Coturnix japonica: one gene and its partner. The protein of the gene in region 1 purifies or fractionates together with the protein of each later gene. This does not show direct contact. Links are inferred from orthologs where the notes say so. Each region holds a gene or a part of one and is shown on either strand. Other genes may lie near its edges.

Region 1 (5,524 bases):
GATTCAGCATCAAGAGCAAGAAGAAAAAGAAATGTGGTGTCATTCTAAGTCCAAGTATCAAGTATTTCATTTTAGAAAGCAAAAGCAGATTCTCCTGCAATCCTTCCCACACAGATTCAGGCAGCTGCTGCTAGTAGTGAAGGGAGGAAACAAATCAGTAACTGACAGCCAAGGTCTTGCTATGCATCTGTTGGAAACATCACTGCATCTGCTCCAGACCTTCAGCTATGATTGAGTGCTTCTGATGTGGAGCCAGAGATAATAATAATAAAAAGCAGAGGGTCATTCCTTCACTAGCAAGTGGACCAATAAACCAACCAGCCTCTGAAAGAAGCGTTAGTTCAAATTTTAAAGGGAAAGGAAGTGCAGAGGCTACAGCTTCTTAAAAAGAGAACCACAAAGACTATGAGAGATGCTTCACAAGTAACCAATCCCACTCCACCATGTCCACTGCCCACGTCCCTCAGTGCCACAGCCCCACAGGTCTGAACACCTTCAGGGATGGTGACTGCCCCACCTCCCTGTGCAGCATCTCACTGCTCTTTCCAAGAAGAAATATCCAAACTTAACCTTCCCTAGTGAATCTTGAGGGCATCACCTCTCATCCTATCACCATTACCTCTGAGAATAAACCTAAAGTTGCTATGCTCTCCTTTCCGTGAGCTGTAGAGAGCAATGAGGCCTTCCCCTCAGCCTCCTTCTCCAGGTTATATATGGGTGTGTCTTACGTGGATATAACTACTGACGTTTTAGCAACAGTTACATGGAATACATCAAATTTATCAGCTATAAATAAACCGGCCCCATCCCTACCCCTCCTGGTGTCCCCAGCTCCGACCTCGTCCCCATCCCCGCTGCCAGCTCCATCCCCACCGCTCTCCCCATCCCGGTCCCCACCACCACTTCCATCCCCATTCCCGTCCCTATCCCTTCTGCTGTCACCACCCTCACCACTATTTCCATTTCCACTATTTTCCTTGACTTAGGGAACTGGGTCTGTTTAGCCTTCAAAAAAGAAGGCTGAGAGGGGACTTGATCCAGGTTTATTAATACCTGAGATGTGGGAGCCATAGTGGTGAGTCTGGTCTCTTTTCATTAGTGTGTGGGGACAGGATTAGGGGTAATGGGATGAAAGTACAGCATAGGAAGTTCTGCACAAATGTGTGGAAGAACTTCTTTACAGTGAGGGTGACGGAGCACTGGAACAGGCTGCCCAGGGAGGTGGTGGAGTCTCCTTCTCTGGAGATATTCAAGACCCGCCTGGACGCCTTCCTGTGTGACATGGTGTAGGGAGCCTGCTTTGACAGGGGGTTGGACTCGATGATCTCTAGAGGTCCCTTCCAACCCCTACAGTTCTGTGATTCTATAAGGGGTGGCAGCTCGCTCTGCTCAGGGAGGCCCAGTAGAGCAGCCTCCCCTCCCCACAGCCCCATTACCTTGCTCTGCCCCGCGGCCCTGCCCGGCAGCCCGGCAGCTCTAGCCCTGGGGCTGGGCCACTCCTCGCCGATGAGGGACGTCCTCAGGGAGGCTTTGTTCAGCTGCTGCAGGTAGAGGAAGAGCAGGAAGCGCAGCGTGTCCACGGCGAGCTGCCGAGAGGGGAGATGCCGTTAGGTGCCGCCGGCCGCCCCGCTCCCTCCCCATCCCCGGTCCCTGCCTTGCCGCGCTCCCGCTCCAGCTCCTCGCCGTTCCCACACGCCGCCTCGGCCTCGGCTCGCTGCAGCCTGCGGGGCGGATCGGGAGGAGGGAGGAGGCCGTGGAATCGCTCGAAGTACAGCCAGGCCAGGTCGCGGCCCAGCTGCAGTTTATCACAGGCGATGTACCGCCAACGCGGCCAGCTCAGCCGCGGGTAACAGCCCTCGGCCGCCCTCGCCCGCGTGTACGCCGCCATTTTGCGCAGGTAGTGTGGGCCCAAGCGGGCGGGGGGCGGCACGGGCAGCGCGCCCAGCAGCAGCGGCTCCGTCCGCGGCCATAGCGACACGGCGGCCGCCATGACAGCACCGCCAACCAACCAGACGACGCTTCCCGCCTCCCCTCGGGAGCCGCTCGCCATTGGCTACCGGAGCCGGCGCGGAGGCGGGAAGAAGCGACACGCCTTGCGATTGGTCGGCGTCTTCTCCTTCCGGCTCTCTGCGATGCGATTGGGCCGCGGCCGCGAGGCGGTGGTGAAGTGTGCGCAAGCGATTGGTTGTCAGCTCGATCCGCGCGGGGCCGGGCCGCTCCCCAATGGCTGGCGGCTATGGTTGGGTCGCGCTCTCATTGGCTGGCGGCTGCGGCCGGGCGCCGGCTTCGTGTGTGAGGGACGGGCTGCGGGCGGCGGGCTCCTGTCGGCCCGGCCATGGCCCCCGGCTGGCTCGGCCGAGTGTGTCTGCTCCTGCTCTGCCTCTGCGGGGAGGCCGCCGCCGGGTGAGTGCTCCCGGGGGGCTGTTCTTCCCTTATCCCCTCCCTCCTTCCTATAGGCCTGCGGCTCCACAGCGCACGGCCCGGCCCAGCTGACGGGGCCTTCTCTCTTGTCTCGCCCCTCAGGAGGGATTTCTATAAGATCCTGGGGGTGTCCCGAGGCGCCTCCGTGAAGGACATCAAGAAGGCGTACCGCAAACTGGCGCTGCAGCTGCACCCCGACAGGAACCCCGACGACCCGCGGGCACAGGAGAAGTTCCAGGACCTGGGGGCTGCCTATGAGGTGGGGATGGGCTGTGGGCGGGGAAGGGGGCTCAGGAGGGAACCGAGTGGTACAACGGGCTGGACCAGGCGTTGAGGCACCGTCCTGTGGCTGTCAGGGCAATGTGCAGGTCCAGAACGGCTGTCACAGAATCACAGAATGAGCCGGGTTGGAAGGGACCTCAAGGATCATGTAGTTCCAACCCCCCTGCCTGGCAGGGCCACCAAACATACACCTTTACTAGATCAGGTTGCCCAGGGCCCCGTCCAACCTGGTCTTGAACACCTCCAAGGACGGGGCATCCACAACCTCCCTGGGCAGCCTGTTCCAGGGCCTAACCACTCTCCTAGTGAAGAACTTCCCCCTAACATCCAACCTAAATCTTCCCTCTTTTAACTTAAAACCATTTCCCCGTGTCCTGCTATTGTCAGCCCTTTCCAAGAGTTTACTCCCCTCCTGGGAGTAAGTTCCCTTCAGGTACTGAAAGGCTGCAATGAGGTCAAGACTCAGGGACGAATTCCCACATAAATGATTCCCTATGGGGCGCTGCTGTCATCCCTTCTCACCTGTTAAACGCTGTGTTGAATTTCAGGTGTGATGCCTGATAACAAAGCAGAGAGGCTGCCAGGCTGACCTGGGAAGTCCGCTTGTTTGAGGGCAATAAAGGGCAGCAGTTCACCTTGCTGGGGGAGTGTGCGGAGCTCGAGCTGTTTGATCTTATTAATAGTTGTTTGAGTACAAAAAGGGAATGCATCAGCTGTGAGTGTTGGCACAGGAACTCATTTGTTTGTATGTGTAGAGCGTGACTGTAAGTTTTGGCTGGTAGGAAGTGAAAGGCTGTTGGTCGCCTTCTAGTAAACATGTTGAAGGGTGAAAAGTCATTGCTGAAGCCCCGTATGCTTAATGAATTCTGTTATATCTATCCTAAGGCATAGCATTTAAGTAATAATTCATATTTCTAGCATCACACACTGCATAAATCACACATAAACTGTTTTATTACCCAACATTTGTAAGTCAAAGTCTGCTTTTCCCTCTGCTGTGGATGGTGGGCTGTGTTTCCTTCATGTCCTCTGTCCTTTAGCTTCCCATCTCAGAATCATAGAGGTTAAAAGGGACCTTGGGTCCCATCTAGTTAACAGACCTGCTAGAGTAGGTTCCCTATAGTAGATTGCACAAGAAAGCATCCAGGTGGGTTCTGAACGCCTCTAGAGAAGGAAGGAGACTGCACAACCAATGTGAGCAGCTTGTTCCAGTGCTCTGTCACCCTCAACAGCATAGAGATTGATTATTCCTTGTGATTGTATGGAGCTTTGTGTTTCAGTTTTTGCCCATTGCCCCTTGTCCTGTCACTGCACACCACTGATAAGAACCTGGCCCCTTCTGCTGGTTTCTTCCTGCTTCTCCTCATAGAACAGAGGAAAGCTCCTGAGGAAGAGCTGTCAGTTTAGGTAGGAGGTTTGTGCTAGCTTTGAGGAGCCAGGCCATAGGACAATCTGTATCCCATTGTTATCTTTAGGAGTAAAAGGGATTATCTTCCTACCTGGGCTGATGCTGTAGCTGAACCTGTGGCCATAGGTTCCTGCTGCTGTCCCTGCTGCTGCTTCCTTCTTCTGGCATGTAAATATAAAATGACTGAGGAAGTGAGGTGAGAAGCAGCTTGAATGTTTTCAGAAGAAAGACATTAACTTTTTTGTGTGCGTCATACAGTTCCTTTTAGTTCAGACTTCTATTCTTAAATAAGTTAACTTAGTCTCACAACAAAGTTGGTGAGTGTAAATAATTCTTTGGTGGGAGATGCGGAATTTACCGTCTTTGATTTGAAGGCTGATTCATGCTTCAAAGCTGTGGGCTTGGTGTAGTTTATGTGAGCTGGGGCCTTGTTGTACTTGACAGCGCTTAATGCACAGGGAGCGTTTATGTGTTCTCGGGGTTCCAGTTTATGTCTTACCACAGAAGCAGTTGAAAGGGTCTTTCCTACAGCAAAATATTAGGGAAGAAGCAGCTGTAAAATCATAAAACAGTATAGGACGTAGTGGCAGAGGCAGCAAAAATTGAGTGGTGACAATTTACCTTCCTTTCCCTTGCCAAGGTGCTACTAAAATACAGAGCCTGATTTCTTCAGCATAAAACCTGGAGTTCTTTTGCTAAGAGGCTTCTTCACGTAGCACCTGTTAGTGTCAGGGTGGTTTGGGGGCTGGAGTTCATCTTGGTTTTGGTTTTCAGCTTATCTGCTGAATTGCATTGCTTTTGAGGCAACCTAACATGGGCAAGAACTCTATACAGTATTTGGAGTGCTGTGTTCTTGAACCTCCAGAAGCCTGCTAAGGAAGCAAAGTGAATGGAAAAGCAAATATTTTGTATTCTTTATTCCTTTCTTTCTTGTAACATTGTTAGTAGTCTATTAATGGACTGTGGAACTTAACCCAGTTTTCTCAGGTGGGTGTTGTGTTGCATATCTTAGGCGGCACAGGGAGAGCTGAGCTCTTAACCTTTAGTCCTGGAAAGGTGAAGCCAGTACTTCAAGTCACTGTTTTGTTTTTCTTCTAACCTCTCTTGCTGCTGGCATTTATCATTACCTACAATTGGAGGCTGCCTTTCATCATTAAACCAGCTTTTCTCCAGCTGTTTCCATTCCTCTCTGAAATCTAACCTGGCAACTTCAGCCTTCCAAAAAATAGCCAGTGGGCCAGGAAAGGGAAGGAAGGCAAAATCTGGCTGGAAATCTGTGGAGTGGAGAATAAAAGCAAAGATAATACCTAGGAATTAAAACTGAAGCTTTGTGACCTTGAGTGCTGTCTATTGGGATGCACTGTTCTACCTCAGGACTGAGATTGCTCCTGAATTTTGCTGCCCATAGGAACT
Region 2 (5,443 bases), on another chromosome or scaffold:
AAACAATGGTGGCCCTGTAGCCATGAGGTGGCTGTTAATTGCCATTGCTATTTGGCACTGATGGGGTTCTCTGCTGGACACTTCTAACCCAATGACGTTTCTAAAGTACAACCGAAAGCATTGCAGGGAGCACCGTGTACGTGGCACTAACTGCACTGAGGCTGAGCGACCTCCCAGGAGGACAGACAGGTGCCAGCTAAAGCCGCATACCATTGATTTTCCACGGCTAAAATGGCAACTTGGACATCTGTCTGTGCCGTGTGTGTAACAACGACTGCAAATGTGAGCTCCTGTCTTAGCAAGGTTTCTTAGAATGACAGAGATGTAGCATTTGGCAATCAAGGTAAGATGTTTTATTTAGTGTGTGTGAAGAAACACACTGCTGCAACTAGGAAGCTTTAATCCTCAGATAAACACAGCGGGCTTGTGTGTGTGCACACAAACGTGAATGTGTGACTGTGTTTGGGACACAGGCTTCTTCTAAGGCCGGACATTAAGATACATGAAACAGGCCAGCATGAAAAAAACCCGACCATTCAGTGAGTGGGGTCACCTCAGGACTGGTGGAAGAGATAAAGATTGCTGCTCATCTGAGCATCAAATGATGTTTCCACCAGCCAGCAGCACTAATGTGTTTTCTAAATCATCCCGTGATGATATAATTGTGATATTGAAGTTCTGTGCTGTTGCCAATGCAGAATACAATGCCTTATCCCAAGGCAGGTCTCTCCTACATGCTATGGCACTGCTAAGGGAAGCTTTTCCCCTGTTAAATGACACTGATCTGGGGAGCGTTACACCAGACTGTTCTGAGATACGGGTCAATTCAGTGATGAGTTTCAGAGGCAAAAGCCAATGGACTTTGTAGGAGTTCCTGTGTCCGTTGTCCATAGCTGTTCCCTATTGAAAAAGGCGGCTGTACTGTTATTATTTGCAGGGGAGGAAATCCTTCACTCTGCAGTACAATGCAATGAAGTACAATGCTTTAATCCAGTTTCCTTTTGTACATAACAGGTTATAATAATCTCTTTACCTCGTAGTAAGTTTACAAAAGGGACTGAATGGCAGCAGATGAACTTTCAGGTGCAAAAGCACAGCCACAACCACCACAGCCAGACGAACAGCACTCAGCGTTAGCGGCCTGTGCCGTACTGCTGCCCCAGCACCAGCAGCTCTCACATACAGCTGTGCTACCACACAAGTTGTCTGTGTTTCCTTGCAAGGCCTGTAACCCGGTAATATTTCCCTTACAGTCCCGACTACGCGCTAGATGAGAACGCTGCTGTAACCAACCTGTGCTGTGACACCCCGCTGTCAGGAAGGGGCAGCTCGATGGATCGCAACGCTCCGCGCTGCCCACAGCCGCACTGAGGGCTGGGAGCTGGGGGGACACACACGGCCCGCAAAGGCCGCCCCGCAGCACGGCACGGTACGGCACGGCGCCGTGAGGTAACTGCGCGCCATCGCGTCCCGCCCTGAGAGGCGCCACGCCGCTCGCTCTGATTGGTCGCTCCTTTCCTCGGGCCCAATGAGCTCCTCCTGCCAAGCAGCGAATTCCGTCGGCCGTGGTCCAATGCGAGAAGGAGACCGTGAGGAGGGAGGGCTGCAATTGGTTGACTGCGGTGCTGGCGGGGCGCGATTGGCTGAGCTCGCTGAGGGGCTGCGGAAGCGCGCTGCGCTGCGCTGTGTGGCGGCGGTGCCGGCCGTGGCGGCGCGATGTGGGGCGGCCGCCGCCTGCTGCCGCTGCTCACTGTGTGTGCGCTGTGTGCGCTGTGTGCCGGCACGGAGCCGGGCGCTGTGACCTGCGGGTCGGTGCTGAAGCTGCTCAACACCCGGCACAGCGTTCGGCTGCATTCCCACGAGGTCAAGTACGGCTCCGGTGAGCACGAGCGGGCCGGGAGCTGCCAAGGGGCGGGAGGAGCCCTGAGGAGGAGAGGAAATGGCGGGAGAGGGGCAGCGGGAAACGGGCGGGAAATGGGCGGGAAATGGAGGCTGCGGGGGGTCGGGGAATGAGCCGCACGTTGCTCCGGGCTGTTACCGGGACAGCGATGGGGCTGAGGGGTGGGATGGGGTGGGGTGAGATGGGATGGGAGACATGGCGGGGGGGCGGCAGGGCCGTACGGCTGGATCCGCATCTCCTGCCTCTGTGGTGCTTTGCGCTCCCTGAGGTGAGCCCTGTGCTGAGACAGCGGCCTCGGTTACGTTCTTCAGTGTGGAGGGTACGGTACCTGCATTCCCATTGGAGTCAATAAAAGGACTGAGAATGAAGTGTGTTCGTAGTGTTGTCACGCCTTCGAGTTTAAAGCAGCTTCCTTCCGTTCTTCCAGGACTTTCTGAGCTCCAGAAGCGGGTTAGGTCTCCTGCCATTTAATTCTGTTCCAACAGGAAGTGGGCAGCAGTCAGTGACAGGAGTTGAAGCTTCAGATGATGCCAACAGTTACTGGCGGATTCGTGGGAAGACGGATGGCAGCTGCCAGCGTGGAACCCCAGTGAGATGCGGGCAGGCAATACGGCTTACTCATGTAAACACAGGAAAAAACTTACACACTCATCACTTCCCATCACCGCTCTCCAATAACCAGGTAAGTGGCTCTAAATCATAAGTTTTTGTACAAATAGTGCGTGATTGAAATTGACAATACCTCTTTCCAGATTTCTTGGTTTTGAAGAATCAGTCTTAGATACCAGATGCCAGAAATAAGGCATCTCTGGATATGCAGAGTGGTTTCCTAGAGACTGATTGGTCTGTGACTTATTATCTTGTTGAAATGAGGCGTGGTTCTGAGTATAAACTTTTATTTCATATTCCTAACAAACAAGTTTGATTTTCAATCGGTGTGTTGTCACTGACACTGCACGGACTGCACAAGCTTGAATTAACATGACCCTATATTATTAGCTTGATAGGTACAAACTATTGCAGTTCTGTTTTCAAGTGGTTAATCACTTCTAGCCATCTGATTTTTAAGTCTGTGCTGAGTCTTAAACAGTTGGAGCTGAGCCTACCGGGTTTATGAAAATACTTGGAGTTATGTGGGGGCACATAATAAAATCTGATCTCTAACTTTTGTTTTAGCAGGAATTTATTTGCCTTTGTGGTTGGCCGTCTTTATTTTTTAAAGGGCCATTCAGTCATCTGTTCAGCAGTGCAAACCGAAATAGTTGTTAACTTGTAATCTTAATATAATAAAATAAAAGGAATACAATTAATGAGTTAAAATGTTGGGACCTTGTGATTAAAAGCTGCAGTGATAACTGTGAAGCATTGTGCTACAAAATTAGATACTTAGTTACAAATTGATGTCACCATTAGTGAAATTGTTTTACAGAAGGATTGCTCTGATCTCTGTGCTCAAGTTGTCTTTAATTCCTAATGTCTGTTGTGGTTTGTTGGCACTGTGCTCAGGTTATGTGGTGGAGTTTGTAGTCGCAGAGTTACTGCTTCTGGATTGAATTGCTGCTGACAGCAGGGCCGTGTTTCTTTCCTCTGCATCCTTGCCTTTAAATTCTGCTGGCTTTGTGGCTGTTGTTTTTGTGTGTGCATTGGTTGTGTTTGCTTATATTTTCACTTCAGGAGATTTGTGTTTCTAACAGGAAGTAAGTGCCTTTGGTGATGATGGTGAAGGAGATGACCTCGATATATGGATTGTGCAATGCAGTGGGACACACTGGGAGCGGGAGGATGCAGTGCGCTTCAAGCACGTAGGAACTGAGGTGTTCCTTTCAATCACTGGGGAGCAATATGGCCATCCCATTAGAGGCCAACGGGAAGTTCATGGCATGCCCACCGCTAATCACCACAACTATTGGAAAGCAATGGAAGGAGTCTTCATCAAACCCAGTATGGACCTTGCAAAACATGATGAGCTCTGAATTGCCAGAGGATCCAATAAGGTTCATCCTACTCCCATGGTCAGAGATGCTAATACTCGGTCTCTTAAAAAGTCCCACCTTGCCTAAGTGATAGACTTTCTGTGTTACTGAAGGGCATTAGTTCATTCTAGGAATGCTGCACTTCTGTGGGAATGACATCTGCCAGGCTAAGACATTTTACGTTTATTTAAAACATCCTATCTAAATCTTCAATCTTATTTGGTGAAACTAGATCATACGTGTTAGTTCTCTCTGTCATTTGTTTTGTCGTTACTTCTCCAATTCAAAAGAAATTGAAAAAACAAAGTAGTACATCTCTGTAGTCCCAGGTACCGCAAAACTTTGTATTTTGTAATTTTTTTTCAGTTATAATTAAATATTTGGAAACTTATTTCTAGCTAGTGAGAGAATGCTATTAATGAAGAGCTGGAGTAAGTCTAGAAAGGGAAAATAGTTCTTGCTGTCTCTTAAGTGAGTCAAATTCTGCTACTTCCAGAAAAATATTTCAGTCCATCTGAAAATTGCTTCCAATGTGTTTCATGAGTTTTGTTGTGTATTTATGGAAAAGTTGAAAATGCTGTGTATGTTGAAGAGGACAAGTTTTTATTTCTTACCTTTCTCTGAAGAAATTTGTGGGTTTTTTTCTGCTGATTGATTGTGATACTGCTAATTCTCAGACGGTAAGACTTGTGCTCTAGGAACTGGTGCAGAAGGCTCCTACTTGTTTAATTAATGTTAGAATTTTATAAAATTCCATGTGATGTGAATAAATTTGCTTTATGTTGTTCTTGCATGTCATTGCAAGCTCAGTATGAGAATCCAGGTGTATAAGCAGTGGGACTTACAGCCGTGTGGGGCTCTGCTGTGCGAATCCAGGAGAGAGTAAATCTTAGAAAATGGTTTGGTCCTGGACTTTGAACAGAGGGGTAATCTGTAGAGCAAGGAATCTTCATTGCATGAGGCATTAATTTCTGTGTTCTGTGGAAAGAATGGAAAAAAAATCTAACTCTTGAACACTTTTATTCCAGTGTATTACAAGAAATACTGACTGAAGCACAAATTACCAGACATTTTCTAATTGCTTTAAAGAGAAAAGCTCAGTAAGTGAGTGTGAAAAGTCAGCAAATTCAGGTGTTGGTTTTTTCCATGTATAACTAGTTTACTGACTATGGTCCCAATTAGTCAGTTAATGAAGGAGGAACGTTATTTGCTGCTTTTACGTCTCCAGTTACATGCTGTGGAGAGTGTTGATGCAGTGTAATAGGTAGTTTCATTTACATTTTATACATGTACCTATACACATGCTTCATATGCTGATCCCTCACACACTTGTGCTGCACAGAATAGCTTCAGTTTTAATTCAGGGTTTGATTCTAGTGAAGATCCTTCGTATTCTGCAGAAGAAGCAGCCTCTGTTGTTCTGTGATATTCTTCGAAGAAGGTAAGAGTGTTTTTCTGTTAATCTTACGGTATTGAAGGATAAGAGGCATTTTGGAGATGAAACGAGCTGGTATTGCTTTGTGTTACAAGCAAACCTTTCTGTAAGGTTCACTGGTATTCCCGACTAATT

The links. The genes of interacting proteins can lie anywhere in the genome.
Region 2: the proteins of DNAJB11 (region 1) and SDF2L1 purify together in Homo sapiens (affinity purification with mass spectrometry; 3 studies listed by BioGRID and IntAct, counting the BioPlex papers as one, with this or other methods). This does not show direct contact. The link is inferred for Coturnix japonica from reciprocal best matches to the Homo sapiens genes DNAJB11 and SDF2L1.

Annotation. Positions count from the first base shown.
Region 1 is NC_029524.1:3,281,455-3,286,978, forward strand, and holds the start of DNAJB11 (dnaJ homolog subfamily B member 11), read left to right. Parts: upstream 1-2,259; 5' UTR 2,260-2,335; coding exon 2,336-2,403; intron 2,404-2,523; coding exon 2,524-2,680; intron 2,681-5,524. Other genes in the region: TBCCD1 (TBCC domain-containing protein 1), read right to left, coding at 1,437-1,586, 1,655-2,050. UniProt on the Homo sapiens protein: As a co-chaperone for HSPA5 it is required for proper folding, trafficking or degradation of proteins.
Region 2 is NC_029530.1:285,998-291,440, forward strand, and holds the start of SDF2L1 (stromal cell-derived factor 2-like protein 1), read left to right. Parts: upstream 1-1,665; 5' UTR 1,666-1,716; coding exon 1,717-1,879; intron 1,880-2,385; coding exon 2,386-2,582; intron 2,583-3,594; coding exon 3,595-3,873; 3' UTR 3,874-5,443.